Callithrix jacchus: one gene and its partners. The protein of the gene in region 1 interacts with the protein of each later gene in a pairwise test. Links are inferred from orthologs where the notes say so. Each region holds a gene or a part of one and is shown in the gene's direction. Other genes may lie near its edges. The genes, in order: RABAC1, ZFYVE21, SNX10, RAB1A and TRIM32.

Evidence for each region.
Region 2: the proteins of RABAC1 (region 1) and ZFYVE21 interact in binary tests that used the Homo sapiens proteins (3 or more experiments, as listed by UniProt). The two-hybrid records come from large-scale screens. The link is inferred for Callithrix jacchus from reciprocal best matches to the Homo sapiens genes RABAC1 and ZFYVE21.
Region 3: the proteins of RABAC1 (region 1) and SNX10 interact in binary tests that used the Homo sapiens proteins (3 or more experiments, as listed by UniProt). The two-hybrid records come from large-scale screens. The link is inferred for Callithrix jacchus from reciprocal best matches to the Homo sapiens genes RABAC1 and SNX10.
Region 4: the proteins of RABAC1 (region 1) and RAB1A interact in a two-hybrid assay, tested with the Homo sapiens proteins (2 studies listed by BioGRID and IntAct). The link is inferred for Callithrix jacchus from reciprocal best matches to the Homo sapiens genes RABAC1 and RAB1A.
Region 5: the proteins of RABAC1 (region 1) and TRIM32 interact in binary tests that used the Homo sapiens proteins (3 or more experiments, as listed by UniProt). The two-hybrid records come from large-scale screens. The link is inferred for Callithrix jacchus from reciprocal best matches to the Homo sapiens genes RABAC1 and TRIM32.

What each region holds. Positions count from the first base shown.
Region 1 is NC_133523.1:36,983,753-36,987,691, reverse strand, and holds RABAC1 (prenylated Rab acceptor protein 1), read left to right. Parts: upstream 1-1,134; 5' UTR 1,135-1,219; coding exon 1,220-1,275; intron 1,276-1,546; coding exon 1,547-1,759; intron 1,760-2,129; coding exon 2,130-2,227; intron 2,228-3,373; coding exon 3,374-3,475; intron 3,476-3,557; coding exon 3,558-3,646; 3' UTR 3,647-3,811; downstream 3,812-3,939. UniProt on the Homo sapiens protein: General Rab protein regulator required for vesicle formation from the Golgi complex. May control vesicle docking and fusion by mediating the action of Rab GTPases to the SNARE complexes.
Region 2 is NC_133509.1:138,519,693-138,523,683, forward strand, and holds the start of ZFYVE21 (zinc finger FYVE domain-containing protein 21), read left to right. Parts: upstream 1-1,188; 5' UTR 1,189-1,256; coding exon 1,257-1,394; intron 1,395-3,929; exon of another isoform or gene 3,930-3,991. UniProt on the Homo sapiens protein: Plays a role in cell adhesion, and thereby in cell motility which requires repeated formation and disassembly of focal adhesions.
Region 3 is NC_133512.1:31,753,318-31,757,573, reverse strand, and holds the start of SNX10 (sorting nexin-10), read left to right. Parts: upstream 1-1,453; 5' UTR 1,454-1,534; coding exon 1,535-1,588; intron 1,589-4,256. UniProt on the Homo sapiens protein: Probable phosphoinositide-binding protein involved in protein sorting and membrane trafficking in endosomes. Plays a role in cilium biogenesis through regulation of the transport and the localization of proteins to the cilium.
Region 4 is NC_133515.1:48,813,310-48,817,603, forward strand, and holds the start of RAB1A (ras-related protein Rab-1A), read left to right. Parts: upstream 1-1,487; 5' UTR 1,488-1,678; coding exon 1,679-1,701; intron 1,702-4,294. UniProt on the Homo sapiens protein: The small GTPases Rab are key regulators of intracellular membrane trafficking, from the formation of transport vesicles to their fusion with membranes.
Region 5 is NC_133502.1:165,023,338-165,027,483, forward strand, and holds the start of TRIM32 (E3 ubiquitin-protein ligase TRIM32), read left to right. Parts: upstream 1-1,341; 5' UTR 1,342-1,693; intron 1,694-4,146. UniProt on the Homo sapiens protein: E3 ubiquitin ligase that plays a role in various biological processes including neural stem cell differentiation, innate immunity, inflammatory resonse and autophagy.

The sequences.
Region 1 (3,939 bases):
GTTTAAAGACTGAGAAAGAACCATGGCTAGGAGAACCAGGGAAAAGAAAGGCCCATGCCTCAGACACTAGCCATCTTTGGGGACATCCAAAAGGCCAGCAGCCCCTAACATGTTCCTATTAAATTTCAGGAGGCTGAACTCTAGAAATTATAATCATAACATCTGGGATAATATAGTGGCAATAACAATGACTATCATTTATTGAGCAATTATAAAGTCTCTTTAAAAATTAGAGTCTTTCAAGCACTTCACATGGATTTAACTGAATCATCATAACCCTGTGAGCTGGTACCATTAGGATCCCCGCTGTTCAGATGAAGATACTGAAGTTCAAGGAGGTGACTAGATCACAGCCACACAGCCTGGATTTTCTCCTGAGTCTGAATCCAGAATCACAGCTCTTTTAGGTATAACACCTCCCACTTTTAAAACTTCTCAATACTTTCTCTTTCCCAACTTCACTTCCTCCTGTCCAAAGGTGTATGGTGGGGGGGGGGACGACGGGGGGTGTCCCTAGCCCCAACTCATTCATCTTTGGGACTCCACGAGGTGGGGTAGGGGCCAACCTCAGATACCCTTCCAGCAACCATGGCCCCCTCACTAGCCTCAATCTCTTGAGGAAAAAATCAATTCCCACAAATTATCTAAATCTTTCTACTCAATATGTGGTCCATGGACAAGCCGCATCAGCATCACCTGGGAACTCAGAAATGCAAATTATGGGTTCCACCCCAGACTTGCTGAATGAGAACATCTGGGCTGGGGCTCAGGATTCTGTGTTTTAGCAAGCCCTCCAGGTGTTTTTTTATGCCCTCTAGAGTCAGAACGACAGCTCGGCACGGTCTCCACTGTGCCCTCCCCGGGAGAGTACACACGCCCGCTTCTGCCATTAGAGCTCCCTTAACGCCCTCGCTCCTGACAGCGCACCTGTGCCCTCCCAAAACTACAACTCCCACAATGCCCAGAGGCGCGCGTCGTCACTTTCTGGGATTGTATCTTCCAAAGTGTCCTGCGAGTCAGGCCGCCATCATAGCGCCCACCCTCCCAGCCACCGTTAAGACTACAACTCCCACAGTGCCTGGCGACAGAACTACCGTCCCCAGCTGCTCCGGAGCGGCGCCACGTCGGCTCCGCAGGGTGGGGCCGGACTCAGGCGGTGCCGGCAGGGTCTGCAGGGTACCGGGCTAGTTACCGCAGCTCTACCCCTCACGACGCAGACATGGCAGCCCCGAAGGACCAGCAGAAGGATGCCGAGGCAGAAGGGCTGAGCGCCACGTGAGCAAGCCGGCTCTAGCCCTTTGGACCCGACACCCGGAGTCCCGGCCCCCTACCCTCTCCTCCCTTGAGTGCCCGGAGTCCCAGCCCCGAGACGCCAAAGTCTTGGTCCCCGATCTCCTCTTCTGGGACCCTGGAGTCTGAGCCCTTAGCCCCCTTTCCCTCTATGGGCCAGGAGTCTGGGGTTCCGGGAGGGAGTCCAGGCTTAGCCCCTTATGGGGATCTGGGCCTCCATTCCGGTCCACCACTGACCCGGCCCCGCCCCGCGCAGGACCCTGCTGCCGAAGCTGATCCCCTCTGGTGCAGGACGGGAGTGGCTGGAGCGGCGCCGGGCGACCATCCGGCCCTGGGGGACCTTCGTGGACCAGCAGCGCTTCTCACGGCCCCGCAACCTGGGCGAGCTGTGCCAGCGCCTCGTACGCAACGTGGAGCACTACCAGAGCAACTATGTGTTCGTGTTCTTGGGCCTTATCCTGTACTGCGTGTGAGTGCCTTCCGGGCCCCACATCTGCACTCTCCCTCCCCGGCTAGACCCCTCCTCTCCTGGTTCAGGCCCCGCTGCCACCTCCGGTTCTTCCTCTCACCGGCCAGGCCCCGCCCCCACCGGCCAGGCCCCTCCTCTCACCGGCCAGGCCCCGCCCCCAAGGGTTGGCTCTGCTAGACCTACCTTGTCACCAAAGGGCCAGGTCACTACTCCACCATCACCCTGGCCAGGATGCGGGGTGACTAAATGTCACCTGGCTCTCCCTGGTCTCCAGGATGTAGCTTGCCGCACACTGGTGGAGAAGGCCAGGGCTCCCTGGCTGGCCTAGCCCCAGCTGCCTGACTGCTGCCTCCCTGCACTCCTCCTCCAGGGTGACATCCCCTATGTTGCTGGTGGCTCTGGCTGTCTTTTTCGGCGCCTGTTACATTCTCTATCTGCGCACCTTGCAGTCCAAGCTTGTGCTCTTTGGTGAGAAATCCCCTGCCCATATGAATCCTTGGTCCCTCACATCCTGGTCTCTTGGAATTACAGACCTCAGAGCCCAAACCCAAGTCCTTCAAAACCCAAGTCCGCCCAAGCCTAGATGTAGACTAGGTCCCCCAAACCTGATCCCTTAACATCTCAAAACAGATGCTCCCACCGAATCTCGGCCCCCTAAATTGCAATTCCTCAAACCCAGATTCCACCTGTCAGCTGTGCCTTCAACCTACTTCTCTCCAAATCACGTGACTCCTTCCCTCTCCCTCCTCCCCTCGCTGCTCTTTGCGGCAAGCATCAGCTGCAGGTGCCCACACTGGACACCAGGTGGCAACCTTACACGGTCTAGATTTGTTCCCGTCCCTTTTCTGGCTTTCTGGGATGTGACCAGAAAGACCTTGGGACTTAGAGAGGAAAACTGAGGAGTATGTTTCATGTGGTTCCCAGACTAGTACCAAGGACCACTGGGAAAACAAAATGCCAGGAAAAATCCCCCCAGGGGAAAATCAAGGTTTGGAGTAAGGTTGGACAGTTGGGATGGGATGGTCAGGTAGACCTGCGGCAAGTTATGTGCATGACAGGCTGGGGCGGAGGAGGGTCGGGTAGAGGGAGCACCTGAAGCACAGCCACAACTTGGCTTCAGCTCATCGCCGTCACCAGCATGCAGACCCCATTTCCCAGACTTCTGTGAGAAGCCTGAAGTTGGTATTTTTATGTGAAATCATTCACTTTGCCAGCCACAAATCACATTCTTGCAAAACATCTCAAAAAACACATCCACCAGTCAGATTTGGCCCCCGGACCACCAGTTTGAGACCCCTGGTCTGCGTGAGGGTTGCAGCAGGAGAGCAGAGTAGTCTGGGGAGCAGGAAGCTGGGATCCCAGGAGCTTTCTAGAGGATGTGGACCAGAGGGCAGAGGGTGGGGCTGAGGCAGGTGAGGATGGTGTGCTGTGTTCTGGAGGGGAGTTGGGACAGCAGGGGAACAGGGTGACCCCAGGACTGGAGGGCCTTGGCAGAGGAGTTTGGATTCAATCCCAAGGTCCTGGAGCTTGTATAGATTGTTGGGGGACAGCAGGGGTTACTCTGGGAGAGGGCACGGAGGGTGGGAACAGCGCCCCAATGCCGTCTGCCCCCAGGCCGAGAGGTGAGCCCAGCCCATCAGTACGCTCTGGCTGGAGGCATATCCTTCCCCTTCTTCTGGCTGGCTGGTGCTGGCTCGGCCGTCTTCTGGGTGCTGGGTGAGTACAGGGTCTGAGCGGCTGGGGTGGATGGTGGGGCCAGGCACAGGAGTGTGGCCCTGAGCTGCCGGCTTTCCTGCAGGAGCCACCCTGGTAGTCATCGGCTCCCATGCTGCCTTCCACCAGATTGAGGCTATGGACGGGGAGGAGCTGCAGATGGAACCCGTGTGAGGTGCTGCTGGGACCTGCTGGCCTCCCCAGCCAGCCACCCCACCCCTACCCATCCCTGTCCTGCACAGGTCTGCTGCTGCTTGGGCCTACAGTGCTGCCCCATCACAAGTCCGGGGAGGGAATCTGCCTTTGAAAATAAAGCTGTTACAGGTGTCATTCAGCAAATACTCCCCCAGCATCTTCTGTGGGTCTCTGTGGATGATGCTGGAAATAGTGTAGAGACCAGGGTTGGCGTGGAGCCTGGGGTGTGGCAAGACGATCAACAAGGTAAACAGGTAAAATATTATGGGATG
Region 2 (3,991 bases), on another chromosome or scaffold:
CCCTTCTCTACTAAAAAGAAAAAAATAGCCGAGAACCGTGGGGGCACCTGCGGTCCCAGCTACTTGGGAGCCCAGGAGGTCAAGGCTGCACTGAGTGCCACTGCACTCCAGCCTGGGCGACAGAGCGAGACCCTGTTTCAAACAATAAAAATTCACGCCTTGTAATAAGAAATTAAAGGCAGGATAAACAAAGTCCCCCACCCTTTTGAGACGGAGTCTCCCTCTGTAGCCAAGGCTACAGGGCACGATAGATCTCGGCTCACCGCAACCTCCGCCTCCCAGGTCCCGGATCAAGCAATTCTCCTGCCTCAGCCTCCCAAGTAGCTGGGATTACAGGCAAGTGTCACCACGCCCAGCTAATTTTTGTATTTTTAGTAGAGACGGGGTTTCACCATGTTGGCCAGGCTGGTCTTGAACTTCTGACCTCGTGATCTGCCTGCCTCAGCCTCCCAGTGTTGGGATTACAGGCGTGAGCCACCGCGCCCGGCCTAAAGATTTTCTTTCCAAACGAAACCATTAAATAACTGTGTTCAGACATCTCCCACCTCGATGCCAGGCCAGCGCGGTCCCAGGCAGGCAAGCGAAGGCGCCCAAGGCCGGGGGCGCAGCCGCGGGCACACCTCGGCCTTCCGCCGTTCCGGGGACCCCCGAGCCCGCCTTCTCCAGGGAGGCGCCCTAACGCGACCCGGGCTGCAGCCTCAGGCCCTCCTGCTCCAACCAGCTCGGGCAGTGGAGACCCGCGGCCGCCCCTGCTCCTCGACCCTGCCACACCCCTCACGCCCGCGGCGACCAACGGTGTCCGACCCCACCGCCGCCCGGCCCCGCAGCTTGGCTCAGCGAGTCTCACCTACTGCGGGCCCCGCTCTCTTCTTCGCGCCGTCCCGCCCCTCTCAGCCTCCTCCTCCAATAGGCGCCGGAAGCCCTGAGAGGGCTACACCAATCAGAGACGAAGCGACACCGACGTGACTGAATAACTAGCCAATCCAAAGTCTCAATCCCACCGAGGTGGGCGGAGCATGCCCGGGCCAGCCCTCACCGCCGATTGGTCACCGACCGCAAGGTGGCAGGGGCGGTGCCCTTATGCGATAGGAGAGGGGGCGGAGTTCGAATTCCGATTGGTCCGCGCTCCGTGGCGGGCTTGGCGATTGGACGCCGGCGCTGTCAGCCGCGCGCGGGCCGGGGCGGGGCGGGCGTTGCCCCCGAGCTGGGCGAGGGGCCGTGTGCGGGGCCTCGGGCCGAGAGGTTGAGGCGGCGTCATGTCCTCCGAAGTGTCCGCGCGCCGCGACGCCAAGAAGCTGGTGCGTTCCCCCAGCGGCCTGCGCATGGTGCCCGAGCACCGCGCCTTCGGAAGCCCGTTCGGCCTGGAGGAGCCGCAGTGGGTCCCGGACAAAGAGGTGGGTGGCCGCCGACCCAGCCCGCGTCTCGGACCCGGCCCGCAGCCCTTGACCGGCCCCGCGGACTCCCAGGCTCCCGCGGCGCCCCCTCCGCCTCCGGGCGGCGCCTTCCCCAGCAGGCCCCCGCCTGGCGCTCCCCCAGGCTGGCCGCATTCCGGGGCCCCCGCCTCAGGCTCCTGCGCCCGCGGGGAGGTTGGGAGGCGCACGGGGTGTCGGTGCGGGGGTCCCGGTGCGAAGGTCCAGGGAGGGCGGGAGGGCCTGCACCTGCTCAGGGCGGGCGCCGGGAGGCGGGGTGCGGGGCTCCGGGCGCGGGCTGGCCCCGGGGGTCGGTTCGTGCTGGGCTAGCGGGTGTGGACTTCGTCCCGAGAGCCGGGGCTCGCTCCGGAGAAAGTGGAAGGCAGCGCGCGTTCCTCGCAAGCTCGGCGGGGAAGGCGCTTGTGGTCCGCGGAAGCGCTGGAGCCGGCGGCCCTGCAGGGGTCCCGCCCGGGAACCGGGAGAGGCGTCGGTGCCGCGGGCGGGTGCTGGGTTCCGAAGCCGCCTCCTGCTCAGAAGCCGGGCCGGGAGGAGAGCCAGGACCCACCCTGTGGGCCAGGCTGCCTCCCTTTCCCCTTCGTCTACACCGCCCTCCGCCTCGGAAGCGAGGCTGCAGTCGCCCACTGGAGAGTTTGGAGACCGCAGGTCTGCACCCGCTTCCCAGCGGCCCGGGCAGCGTGGGAGTTGCCCGAGTCACTCCTGCAGAAGTTGGGGCGTGGACGTGAGGTCCCTGAGCCAGCCAGGCCATCCCCTGGGGGTCCCATGGGGTTCCCCTTGACCTGATGGGAGGTGCCTTTGCCTCACCCCAGCTCCTCGGCCAGCTAGGAAGGCCTCGAGTGCATTTACTCTCCCTGGCTGTGCACTAACAAGTCTGTCCAGCTTATATTCTGCGGATTTTACCAGGATAAAAACTCTGAGAGAAAACTTTTGTAATATGACTTTCTTTTTTTTTTTTTTTTGAGACGAAGTCTCACTCTGTCTCCCAGGCTGGAGTGCAGTGGCACGATCTTGGCTCACTGCAACCTCCGCCTCCCAGGTTCAGGCCATTCTCCTGCCTCAGCCTCCTGAGTGGCTTCGATTACAGGCGCGCACCACCACACCCAGCTAATTTTTTTGTATTTTTAGTAGAGACGAGGTTTCACCATGTCGGTCAGGCTGGTCTCGAACTCCTGACCTCGTGATCCACCCTCCTTGGCCGCCCAAAGTGCTGGGATTACAGGTGTGAGCCACCTCGCCCGGCCTGTAACAGGACTTTCATACTTAACGCATGTTACAGATTCGTTTAATTCCCTCAGTGAGAGAACTAAGCAAATGTTGGAACCGGATTTAGGAAGTCAGAGCAGCACGAGTTGACCTGGGTTCCTTGAAGCTGGAACGGAGGCCTGGCGGGGAGGGCTGCCGCGGAGCCTCTGGGACAGGACAGAATTCCAGTGGCTGTGTGGAAGTGTGTCAGCGTCTACAGTGTACGGAGCCTTCCCCTGTCACCGAGGGGGTCCTGACGAGTCCAGTCCCCGGTATCGCCACCCTATGGAGTTTTTTAGACACTTTGCTCCAGTCATTCTCCTGTGACGTGTTTTTTAAAATGTTTTTTTTTTTTTTTTTTTTTTTCTTTTGAGATGGGGCGGTTTCACCATGTTTGTCAGGCTGGTCTTGAACTCCAGACCTCAGGTGATCCGCCTGCCTCAGCCTCCCAGAGTGTTGGGATTACAGGCGTAAGCCACTGCACCCGACCAAAATGTTTTTTTTTTTTTTTAATTTTTTTCTTTTTCCCCCACCACCCCCAAAATGTATTTTTAAATTGACAAGTGAAAGTCGTATGTATTTGTGGCGCTCACCCATGAGCTCTTAATGGCACAGAAATACTCCCCAGCTGTATGAACCGTGTGGGGCATGTGAGAGAGCGTGGCCAAGATGAGGCAGGGGTTCCCACTGAGGCAGTTTCTTTCTCCATAGCCTCCACCAGTGCTGATTTTAGGTTCTGGTTTTTAGTTACCTCTGTGTTCCCTCCTTCATTCCTCTTCCAGACCCTTCTGCCATCAGCTGAATTGTTTAGCACTTTTCCCCGGCCTTTCTTCGTGGCCTCTGTGGAGGTGCTGCGTGGAAGTCCCGCGGTGACTTCCTGCCCAGTGGAGTTGAAACACCTGAGTCAGGTGGCGCCCCTCCTGGAAGAGAAGATTCATTCCCACCTGTGGCGGCAGGATGTCTCTCCAGAGCCCCCCGCCCCCACCGTGTCTGGATGACGAATGGGGTTTTGAGCAGCCGAGGAAGGCCCTAGCGTTGGGTGGGCGTGGGGGACGGGAGGAACCATTCTAGTGAGTTGGACTTTGAGTTTTGTGTTTTGAATTTTATTGGAGCGTGGTCTTAGAGCCCAGAAGTGACCAAAGACAGTGTCCGGGGGGAGGAGAACGGGGCAGTGAGGACTGGAAGATGTGGAGAGGGCTCGAGGGAAACCGTAACTGTGACAGCCGCCGGCACGTGGCGGCGCTGCAGGGACACTGAGCTGCACTTCGTGGGCTGTGTGCTTGCGGCCACTGGGGTGATTGTGGGGAGGTGACTGAAATGTG
Region 3 (4,256 bases), on another chromosome or scaffold:
TAATTAACAAATAAATAGTATTATCTAGGATTCTGTGATGCTGGGTACTTCAATGGGAAGCAACAAGACAAAACATTTTCTCACTCCCCAAAACCTAAATTTGTTCCCCTCTCCCTCCTTTCTTCTTCCTTCCTTTTTCATCTCCCAGCCTCTCTACATCTTTTCTCAGTCTCTGTTATACTCGGTTATTAAGTGTTCCTATTTGAAGAAATAGTTAAGTTTCCACAAGAGGCAATTTACAGTCTTCTGTAAGCAAAGAAAAGTAGCTGGGAATATTGTCTTCACACATACACACTAGGTTTTAGAGAATGCTGCTGTCATTCTGAGCACTACATTTGTGTTACAGTTACTGTGAGGACTCTGATATTTTTTTCTGAGCCTGTCCCAGAGAGAGCTCTTCCTTCTTTTTTTTTTTTTTAACCCTTCTTCCAGATTTTAAAATAATTCACTGCAGAACATTTTGGAAAAGTGTACAGGAAAAATAAAACTTGGGGATATTTCTTTTTAGTCTTTTTCTATACATATGTATATGTCATTTTTAGAAAACTGAGATCATATAGAATTTATAGTTTAATATCTCATTCTTCCAGATTAGTGTTCTAACACATTTCAAGAAATACTTCACCAGCTCTGTTTAAATTAGAAGTGGCTTAAAAAAAGAAAGAATTAGTAAGCATAAATTCATCTTCACATTTGTTTAGAAATGAAAAAAGAATACCTTTATAGTGGAGAAATCTGACAAATACTTCCTCAGCCAGGTGATCACTGTTAACACCCATGGTGATGCTACGTTGATAGCATGTGCCCTTGAAGTGATAAAAATGGCACTTTACCCTCTTAAATGGGTGGCCTTCCTTCCAAAAACCTATGACATCAATCTAATAATGAGAAAAGCATCAGATAAATCAGAGACATTCAGAGACATTCAGCAAAATACCTACCAGGGCTCCTCAAATTGTCAAGGTCATGAAAAACAAGGAATACCCTAGAAACTGTCACAGACAAGAGGAGCCCAAGGAAACACAATGACTAAATATAATGAATGTATCTTGGGTGGGATTATGGAACAGATCAATGACATTAGGTGAAAACTAAAGAAATCTTAATAAAATATGGACTTCAGTTAATAATAATGTCAATATTGATTAATGAATTGTGATAAATGCAGCATACTGATATAAAATGTTAATAATAGGAGAAGTTGAGTGTGGGGTATATAGGACCTCTCTGTACCATCTTCATAATTTCTGTATATCTAAAACTGTTTAAAATAAAAAAGTTTATTTAAAAACAAATATCATTGACATGTATATGCTCACATAAAAAGATTTCTGTAAGATTGTACAGTGAATAAACCAGTAAACAAAATATACACCTATATAAATACTCCCATCAGTGTTAAAAAATTGCATGAAGCTGGGTGTGGTGGTACATGTCTGTAACTCCAGCTACTTGGCCAATGCAGGAGGATCACTTGAGCCTAGAAGTTCGAGGCTACAGTGAGCAATCATGAATAGCCACTGCATTCCACCCTATGCAACGGAGTGAGACCTCGCCTCTTAAACCCCCGAAACAAAAAATACACAAGGTAAAGATGATAATATAATGGTAGAGATGAAAATATAATGAACCCCCATGTATATACCTACCACCCAGCTTCAGCAATTTACTAACGCATTATTAACTCATAGCCAAGCTATACCCCTCCCCCACCTATTTCCTCCTGCTACCACAGTAAATTATTTGGAAACAAATTCTAGATATTATATAATTTCATCTGTAAATATTTCAGTATACATTTCTAACAAATGACCTTTTAAAAAATGGACCACATTATCTCATGTTAAATAATTAAACAATTGCTTCATATCATCAAATATTCAGTGTTCAAATTACCTTGATTATTTTGAAAAAAAATTATATAGCTGGTTGTTCTAATTATCTATTTAATTAGGATTCAGATAAGGACCACACATTGCATTTGGTTGATAAGATTGTTTAAAGTCTTTAATTCTCTCTTTTCTCCCTTTTGCAGTTTATTTGTTGAAGAAATTAACATAGTTTGCCTTATAGAGATTTTCATATTTTAGATTTTGCTGATTGCATCCTTGTGGATGCCAATTATTTCTTGTTGCAAAAGACGAGTTTTTTTTTTTTATTTTAACTGCACTTTTCCTAATGTGTTATGAGATATGAAAAGGTAACTCTTGCTGATTTGGGATACTACTTGTGTAAAGAAACTTGCAACATCATGAACTGTTACAAGTCATGTAAAAGGCAGGTCTAGCTAAATCTCATTCACAGTTGTTTATCCTGAAGTAATAAAAAGCTTTTCAAAAAATCATCATTCAGTACCACCAGAGGATGGTATTTAAACATACTCCATGCTATAGAGTGGCAAGTAATATCACTTGTCATATGTCTTTTAAGTTATTTGTTACAGCTGTTTTAGGAAATAAAGGAAGGTTATTTGATATATTCATTCTGCCTTTCCATTGTTATTTGTAAAGAATATAGCATGTAAAATATGCCAGATTTTAGTTGTGAGATTGTTATATGGGGGTCCTGAATAGCACTCTGGTGATTAAGACATTGGTAAATTCTATAATCATTAGTTGTATAGAAAAGTACCTAGTGCATTGTTGGTGCACAATATATTTTAAGTGAATGAATGAATGAACGAATGAGTCTCCAGTTTAAATACATGAATCTTTAAAGCACTACTTTGAAGTAGAAAAAAAATGTCCCAAGAAGGAAGAACAAACTGAGACAAGTTTACATTTTTATGATAGAAAATTCTCATCAAAGCTATGAAAAATTAATATTCACTTAACACCTAGACATTCTGCTTTATTAGCTTCTGTCTTTTGTGATATTTCTGTAATCTAAGTAAATATTTTTACAGTTAACACCTACTCATTTTTACTCTGCTACAAAGATTCAAGCTAGGCTATGATGGGAAATTTTAAAAACACATCTATCACAATGGCTAAAATAAAAAATAGTGTGGATCCTCATAGAAACTGTAATAGGTATGTATGCTATATCACCGTGGGGTTAATTTGTATTTTCCTGGTGTTTAATGATATTAAACATCTTTCCACATGATTTTTGCCGTCTGTATGCCCTCTTTGGGTGAAATGTGTCTTCATGTCTTTTGCCTGTATTCTAAATTGAATTCTGTTTTTTAAATATTGAGTTTTTAGAGTGAGTGAATGAGTTTATTTTGAGACAGGGTCTGTCTGTTGCTGAGGCTGGAGTGCAGTGGCGTGATCTCGGCTCACTGCAACCTCCCACCCACCCACCAGGCTCAAGCAATTGAGTCCCACCTCAGCTTCCTGAGTAGCTGGGACTACAAGTACAAGCCACTCCACTCAGCTAATTTTTAAATAATTTTTAAATGTTTCATAGAGATGGGGTTTCACCATGTTGCCCAGGCTGGTCTTGAACTCCTGAGCTCAAGGGATACTCCCACCTTGGCCTCCCAAAGTGCTGGGATTACAAGAGAAAGCCACCTCATCGGTCTAAGAGGTTATTTAAATATATATATATATATATTCTAAATGCAAGTCCTTTGTGGGATGTGTAATTTGCAAATATTTCTTCCAATTTGTAATGTGCTTTTTTTTTAACCTTATTCATGGTGTCTTTTGCAGAGCAAAGATTTTTAGTTTGATGAAGCTTAATTGATTATCCTTCTGTGGATTGCCTTTTTGAGATCAAGTCTAAGCACTCTTCTCCTAGTACTAGACTGAACGGTTTTCTCTGAATTTTTTTTTCTAAACGTTTTCTCTGATGCTTTATGTTTGACATTTACATCTGTGGTTTATTTAGTGTTGGGTTTTGTATAAGGTGCAAGCTTTAGGTTGAGGTTCATCTCTTGACCTATGGATGTCCAGTTGCTGCATAATCGTTTGTTGAGAGGCTTTTTCTTCTCCACTGAATTTTTTTTTTTTTTGCGCCTTTGTCAAATGAGCATATTTGTGTTGGTCTGTCTCTGGGTTTTCTGTTCTGCATTTCACTGATCAACTGTGTCTTAACATTGGGAAGAAGGCTTCCTCCCACTTTATTCTTTTTCAGAAATTTTTTGGCTATTCTAAGACCTTTCCTTTTCTATATAAATTTTAATATAAGCCCATCTGTGTCTTTAAAAAATTCTTGCTGAGATTTTTTTGATAGGAATTATGTTAAACTTACAGATCAATTGGGGGAGAATTTATCTCTTTACTATGTTGAGTCTTCCAATTTATGAACAT
Region 4 (4,294 bases), on another chromosome or scaffold:
ACGGTGTTCATTTCAGAAGCCAGCATGTGAAGTAACTCATATAACCTTTGAAAATTTATCAACTAAGGCCCACGGCAGAATTTGAGGGTTAAGGGGTGTAATTAGTGTATAGGTAGATATAAGTGCCTTCTTTCTATATTTTGGCGTTGTAGTAATTTAAAGTGATTCTGCAGTAAGTCTCAGGAGACAATTTTCTTAGTTCTTAGAAGCTGTAATATAAACTTTGGACAATGTATTATACTATGCCCTTTGTAATTAAATAACTCAAGATAATGTGTTAAAGTTTAGTGGAGATTTAAATTCCTGCGCTGATTAAAGAGAGCTGTTAAGACCACAGGTTTTTAAAAAATGAGTTAATAAATAATACCCTCAGAAATTGTAGGCATTATGTAGTGATGAATTGCATGTTTTTATTGTTTATTATTTTCCAATCTTGCAGAATGGCTCAGGATTAGTAACAACTGAAAATAAGACATTACAACTCAACTTGAAGGCTGGCACGAAGGGAGGACTTGGATTTTAGGCTGGCTCTGGGCTGTGTCCCTCCCGTCCATGGAATGTGGAGCCACTGAAGGTTGTGGGGTCATGGTAGAGGTGCTGTCTCAGAAAGATACATTCGATTGTGTGCGCAAATGGGCTGGGGCGGAGAAGAGAGAGGCAGAGCCCATTAGGAGACTACTGCAATATCCAGGCTGACGAGTTAAGACAGGGGCAGCAGTAAGAATAAGAAGAAATCAAAGAAAATGGTAGTGCGCGGGGCCAACAATGGACGATGACCGAACCAAGTTGGGGCTGGGTGAGAAGTGAAAGAACCGCTCCGGGTTGTCCAGGGAGCCCCTTGACTTCCCTTCTGTCCTTAGAGCGGACGTCCTCCGACTAGCCAGCCGGGTGGCGCAAGCCTCAAGCTGGTTAGGTCAGCAAAAGCCACACCGGGGGCCTGAGCCGCCACGCGTGTCCCCCGCCCCCGGCCCCCTCCCCGCCCTTGCACCCCGGCAGTCTCTCCGGTTTGACCACTCCCTCCGGTCCCCAACCTTCCCCGACCCCCAGCCTCCGTCGACCGCCGGCACCGCCCTCCGCCTCTCTCCGCCCCTCTCCGCCCCCTCCCGCGTGGGGCGCTTACTAGCCCAGCTGCCACGTCTCACTGCTGACATCACCAGGGCCGCTCGGCCTTAGCCAATCCGCCAGGGGGAGTCAGAGCGAAGTCCTAGCCAGCGAGTCAGAGGGGAGGGGAGCAAGGAGGGGCGGAGGGTGGGGAGGTGAGGGAGTGGGGAATAGGGCGGGCGACAACCCTTCAAGTACGCATGCTCCAAACGCGCGGCGCTTGGCGGGAAGCTGAGTCTTGGCCTCCGCTCCGCACCGTCTGTTTTCAGCTCGCGTATCCGCACTCGCGACTCCCATTCCCGGCATGCCAGGCGGTGCGGCCGCCCTCCGGCTGTGTAAAGGCTCCTTGGTCTAAGGCTTCCCTATTTCCTGGTTCGCCGGCAGCCATTTTGGGTGGAAGCGATAGCTGAGTGGCAGCGGCTGCTGATTGTGTTCTAGGGGACTGAGTGGGGGAAGACGTTTGCTCTCCCGGAACAGCCTATCTCATTCCTTTCCTTCGATTACCCGTGGCGCGGAGAGTCAGGGCGGCGGCTGCAGCAGCAAGGGCGGCGGTGGCGGCGGCGGCAGCTGCAGTGACATGTCCAGCATGAATCCCGAATAGTGAGTTCAGGAGAGCACCGGTCGGCTGGGTCCGTGGGCCAGCTTGAGGGATCTTAAAGGGGGCAAGGAGGGTTGGGGCGGAAGTCGGAGCCTCAGCTGGGTTGAGGCGAGGGTGATGGGTCAGGAGAGGCTGGCGGCCGGGAGCCGGGCCCCATTGTCTGACGCGGAGGGGCGGCCGGGCGGGGGAGGGGTCGGGCCGGAGGGGTGAGACGCCCGGGCCTGGACCAGGTCAGGTTGGAGGGCCTGAGTGTGGGGCGGGTGCTGAGGAACTGTGCGGAGGGTCCTGAGGCGGTGTGAAGGGTTAGCTTTTCCTGGAGGCAGTGACTTTTGAAGGAGGACTTGTTTCTGAGGGGAGGGGATGGCGTGGGAGAGCCCTCCTAGAGGGCACTGGCAGACCCTGCGCCCGCACTCTGCGGAACTGTCAGGATCCTCGGGGTGGAAACCAGCTTTACTTGCAAATCCTGAGCTTCTTGGCTCCCTCTCCTTCCATCCTCTCCGCCAGGTTTCAGGTAATATGGATGCTTTTCGGGACTGCTTGGGATTGAGGGGAATGAGTAGATGGTGAGAAGCGATTTTTAAGTTCTCTTTTTTGAGTTGTGTCTTGGAAGAGTTCTTTAAGAACTCGGCGGTTCCATTGCCCTCCTAAAAACCTGGGCACTTGTGAGAATTTTTTTTTTTTTTTTTAGAGGACACTTAAGTCATTTTGTCTTCTGTAGGTCAAGGAAAAAAAACACACAGCTAAAGCCAAGGAATGTTTTTCTGATACTACCAGATTAAAGGAACCCTGCTGTCAAGTTGAAAGAGAAACGAATGGGACCTATGATAGATCTGTATGTAGGTTTTGGATTACCTGCTTGAATGATTGCAGATAGGGAATGATAGGCAATGAGGTTCCATGACGTGTCATGAAAAGTTAATGCATTTCTTTTTCTTGCTTACTCAAGAAGTCACGACAGCAGATGTGACACACCTGGCACCTTTCCTGGGAACTGGTGTTCACTTCCCTTGGGTAGACTTTGTTGGCTCTCCTCAGTGGCCCTTTAAAAATTTCCTCTACAGTTTACATATATGTAAAGTAATGAGTAATTGGAAGAGATAGAATTGGTATTTCTTTTCAGTGTCAAAAGCCTTTGAGGGATGGGGGAAATGAGTATTTGTTGTAAAAGTTGAGTTTATTTGCTGCTTTGATCAATTACTGCTAAACATTTTCCCCTAAAAGGTCCACCCACCAGTTTAGCTGACTGTCATGTGTGTGTCACATGGCTCTTGCAAAATGCATTCTTCAAGTTTTGTAACACTGGCTTGATGCTGAAATCTTTTGCACTAAACTGAAACCATAGTATTTTATTAGAATTTTATGCTTTAGAAGTTGACGGTAGTGTTCTTGTAGTGACATATTTACTTTGTTGACAGTTAAAAAAATTTTTTTTTCAAGGGCTCCAAGGACACAGTTGGTTTTGCACAGGTGAACACAGTTGAACTTGAGGTTCTTAATTTAGTGGTTTTCTTGGTAACAGTAAAGAATATGGATTTACCGCTCTATCAAAGTTCATAAACCTGTACTGTTAAGGGCTTTTTCTGAATTTACTATATATATGTTTAGTACTGTAAATAGATATTCAAGATTAGTTGAGAACTTTGACAAGTTAGCCTCTGAATTTATTTCCCCTTTTGTTAAATAGAATAATTGGAATCATTATTCCTTTCAGGGTAGTGGTGAAATTCAAATGCATATAAAAGAATTAGGAAAACTATATGAGCATTCTTCAGGTAGTATGCGTAATTTTCATGAAAGGCGTTCTATTAGTGCTAAGATTTAGGAATATAATCTTTATGTTTAAGGAGTTTAGGAATATAGATAAACATTTTATGCATGTCAAATACCAGTAAATGCAGCAAATTCCAGATGTGTGTCGTTGATGAGAGCAACAAGATTTCGGGGATGGTGGGTTGTGATTAGCTATCTGGGTTTTGGAAGACTTTATAGAAAAGAGACCTGAAAGGAAATTATCAGCAGCAATTGGATTTGGAGGAACAGAGGGAGTGAGAAGGAATTTTCAAGGAGGAGAAGCAGGAATGGCTCATAGATGACAGGGATAGTAATTCTTGAGTAAATGTGGTATCACATCATCCTTTTCTTTTGAAGACTAGATTAATGACCTCAATGGAATCAAATCCAGAAATAGTTTTTATATTTTTTCTGGCATCAAATACATGAGTATCTGGCCTACTATATTTGTAGTCTATCTAGACTGTTGAGTAAAGTAAAACAGGAATTTGGGAAAACTTTTGCAAAAATGTTAGTGGAAATTAGGGTAAGAGGAAGTGAGGGATATTTTATTAGGGAAGGTTACAAGGGCAGCCAACAATCAGATTTTTAGCAATCTGACTTTAGCAGGTTTTTTTTTTTTTTTTTTTGAGACGGGGTTTCGCTCTTGTTACCCAGGCTGGAGTGCAATGTCTCGATCTTGGCTCACTGCAGCCTCCGCCTCCTGGGTTCAGGCAATTCTCCTCCTTCAGCCTCCTGAGTAGCTGGGATTACAGGCACACACCACCGTGCCCAGCTAATTTTTTGTATTTTTAGTAGAGACGG
Region 5 (4,146 bases), on another chromosome or scaffold:
ATAACTGTGGTTTTCAGGAAAAAAGAATGCAAAGTCTCCCTAACTCGTATAAGAAGGGAGTATAAGTGAGAAAGCATTTGGCACCGCCTCTCCCTTATCCCCTACTTGCTAATTACAATTTTTCAAATACAGTTACCAACTGCAAACTACCATAATCTTGGTTTATCTTCATAGCAAACTTCATTTAGAAATTTAGAAAATGGGGAGAGAGAGTAAACAAGGTTAAGAGAGTGGGTTCCCAGATAGAATCGGGTACAAATCAGGGCTCCAACAGGCACAGGTTTGCTGTGTAACCGCCTAGGTTACACAACAGGTGTAGGTTAACCACCAGCTGCCTTATCTTATGAAGTCCTTAGGAGGATTTAGTGAGCCACGCACCTGAAGTCCTTAGCTATAGCCAGACAGCAAGTATCCAAAGGTGTTAGTTATTGTTTTTGTTCATGGTTTTATCATTGTGCAAGGGTCGCATAGCTAAGTGGAATTTCAAATCCAAGGCCATCCTACTTCAAACTCCTTTGTGCTCCTAAGCTATGCAGTATAGTCACCTTGGAGAGCATGCGATTGTCCCCAAACTACCTCAGGGACTGCAGGTTATGGCCAGCCAGTCCTCTATCAGACCTCGTCCTTGCCAGATGCCTAGTGCCCCAGATTCCCTCAAATCTCAGGCCAGACAACTTCCCACCCGGTAAGACTCCCCCACCTTCACCCCTGACTCTCCAAAACTAGACTTGGTGTGGGTTCCCGGGAAGCTCTGTCTGCAGGGACAGTATTCCCCACGTCTGCGTCTGCTGTCGACTTCCCAGCTGAGTAGGCAAAACATTCATTCCTTTACAGAGCAATGTGTTCATGGATAAACTTGTCTCTAGCGCAGCTCTGTGTCAGAGCACAGAACATGGAGCCCAAGCACTGCCCTTCCCAGGGAGTCCCGGTTCTCGACTTCCCCAGGATGGAAGTTTGATTCTACCGTTGGCCCATTTCTTTGATAGAAAAACTGAGACTCAGCGAGGTGCCAAGGCTTTGATTAGGACTACCCTGGAAGCCACGGCTTTGTAAGGGGTAGACATTGGGACTGGAGTCAGAAACGCGTTCTGGCTTATCTCCTGACTTACTGAATGAACTTGAGCAGGTCCCTTTCGCCCGTGGGCCTCGGTTTCTTCATCTGCACAACGAGACGGAAAACTGGATTACGTGTAGCTAAGGCCCCCGGGTTCTCAGAGGAATGCTCACCCCTGCAGGGCCGACCGGCCCCGCGGCACTACAAGACCCAGCTTGCCTCGGGGGGCGGGGCTCAATGACTGACAGGGAGCTCTGCGAGTTGCCGCCCGGCAAGGGGCGCTCAGCGGCGCGTGCGCAGAAGGCGGCAGGCGGGTGGGCTGGCGGCGGTGGACTCGTTGGAGCCGCGGGCGGTCAGGTAGGGGGCGGGAAGGAGGGTTGGGGACCAGGGACCGCGGCCGGAGTCGTGGGCGGTGGCACAGTAGCGGGGCGGAGGGCCGTGCCGGCGAGCAGCGGCCGCGCCCGAATGGCAGAGTCTGTGGACCGGATCTGAGGGGCAGGACTGGGGTGGGGGTGGGGCTGCTAGGGGCAGGCTCGGGAGAGATTCATGGGGCTGAGGAGATCCGAGGAGATGCAGCTGGGGGAGGGGAGCGAGGTGCTCTGAAGAGATTTGCGTTTGAAGCATTTCGGGAGGTATGAGGTAATGTGGGGGCCGAGAGGAGAAATGGGGTGCAGCATGTGGGAGATGGGAGGGAATCAGGGCCCTGGAGGGACCTGGGTGCAGAATTTCAGAAATATGAAGGAACTGGGGACCCCCGATGAGATTTAAGGGAATCTGGGGGCGCTAGGCATCTGGCAAGGACAGGGTCTGAGATGATAGGAGCAAGGTCTAGGTCGATCCTCAGTGCTAGTGAGAGAGGGTTTTCGGAGTGGGATGAGCGTGAGATTGAGGGGATGGGGATGAGTTCTTGAGGGACTCTGTCTTGTTAGCAGAAAGAAGGGACCTGGCTGAACTGTGAAGCCAGCATGTGACATTCAGTGCGTAAGAGGAAGGAACAGGGTTTGAGAGCGGCACAGTGCCTGATGGAATGCAGGAGATGGGGGGCTCAGAATGAGGGAGAGCAGAAATCAAGTGTGGAATTGGGCCGTTGAACTGAGGTGCAGGGCTGAGTGCAGCAGAGATTTGGAAACAGGGATTAAAGGATCTATGTCCGAGGGATTTGGGGCATAGGAGTGAGGAATTGATGAGGGTTGCAGTATACAGCGCCAGAGATTGGAATTTGGTATTGTAAGAGGGTTGGGGACAGGGTTTGGAGAGGATTGAATCATAGGGTAGAGATGTCCTAACTGGGCTATAGAATCAAAAAACCCTGAGTCGGTTTGTGGACTGGTGTCTTGGACTGCTGAAGAGATTTTCCTTAAATCGCTGCATGGGAGACAGATGGAGTTCAGGGGACCCAAGGACCTAAAAGTAATGTATGATATAGATGAGTATATGAAGATGAGCAGAGTTCAGGTGTTGAGGAACGAAGTGATACATCTTCAGTTCAGAGATCCTGAAGGAGTGTGGTGATCCTTGTGAAGGGCAGAATCTTCTTCATTTATTAAACAAATATCCATTATCATGAGGCAGGTATGGTATTGCCACTAACTCCCCTCTGACACCCCCAGGCCACTGAAAATGGTGGGCTTTGGGGAAGAAGAAATGGAACTATTCAAGGTCATCTACCTAAGCCCCTTTTCCTTGTACCCACAAGCTGCGATAGCAGATAGAATGTGAGACCTCCAGGGGAATAAGTGGAATAATTAATCCTATCTAAGATCCATTACAGCTTGAAGGGGCGGTGCCTCTGTGAATGAGGTGTTTGGGCTCTGAGAGAGACAAAAATAAAAGGGAACCCTTATGTATTGAGCATTTAGTCCTGTGCCAGACTATAAAGAAGTGGTTCTTAACCAGGGGTGGTTTTGTCACCTTGGAGACATTAGGCAATGTCTGGAGATGTTTTTTGGTTGTCACAGTTAGGGTGGGGAATACTACTGGCTTCAAGTGGGTAGATGAAACATGTTAATGTTTTATGTTAATGTTAAACATTTGATAATGCATGGGATAAGCCCCTGCTCCCCAGTAAGGAATTATCCTGCCTAAAATGTCAGTACTGCCAAAGTTGAGGCACTCTGCCCTAGAGTCAGATATCCTGGGTTCAAGCCCTAGCTCTGTCTCTTCCTGACTTTGTGGCCTTGAATGAGTTACTTAACCACCCAGTGCCTTGACTCTTCACCTGTAAAATGGGGTTATGATAACGACCTATGTCACAGAATTGTGAGGATTTAGTGAAATAAATTAGCATGCCTAGGATCTGGCACATAGTATGTTCTCAAAATCTAGTAACTTTTAGTCTTATATCTACTTCTTTATTCAGTTTTCGTATCTTTCTAAGTAGGCTCTGCTGTTTTCAGTTTTACACGAGGGAACTAAGGCTTAGGAAGTGACTTGCCTAAGTTTCCATAGCTAGGAATGACACATAAGCTCATACCCAAATCTCTGTAGCTCTGTATATTCCCTTTTTCCTTGCTACTTCCTTTCTAAGGCCTGCTTAGTCTTATTTTCTCAGCCCATTCCCCTCTAATGAAAAAGAGGATTGCCCAGTGACTATCAAAGACGGGGTGGCGGGGTGGGGGGGTGGGGGGGCGGAGAAGGTAAATCTCTCTGATTAGGTAGGGAGGAGCCCTGGACTTTGTTCTTGGTTTGCTCTTAGACCAAGACCAGGGGCTAGATAAGGAGACGAGTTTGAGGTTACCAGGCAGAATGAGGTGCAACAGACTATGGGGTGAGGTATGGAGGCCGTTGGCTTGAGAAAACACCTCATAGCAGGGACTGAGGCTTAAGGCATTCATATTCTGAAGGAGAGTAATCACTGTTCTGTGTGATCTCTTTTGGGCTGCTTTTCCCTGGAACAAAATAATAGCATTGGCTCTATCATCTCCAGGACTAGCTACAGCGTTGCTGAAGCCAGTTCAGAAACAAAGCTAGACTGCATCTGACTGCTAAGGTTTAGCTGGAACATCCGCGCACATCCCTAAAAGAAAATATGTCATGGGAATTCAGTCAGCCCTGTCTAAACTCCTTACTCTGTTGCTAATTTCTTATGCTAC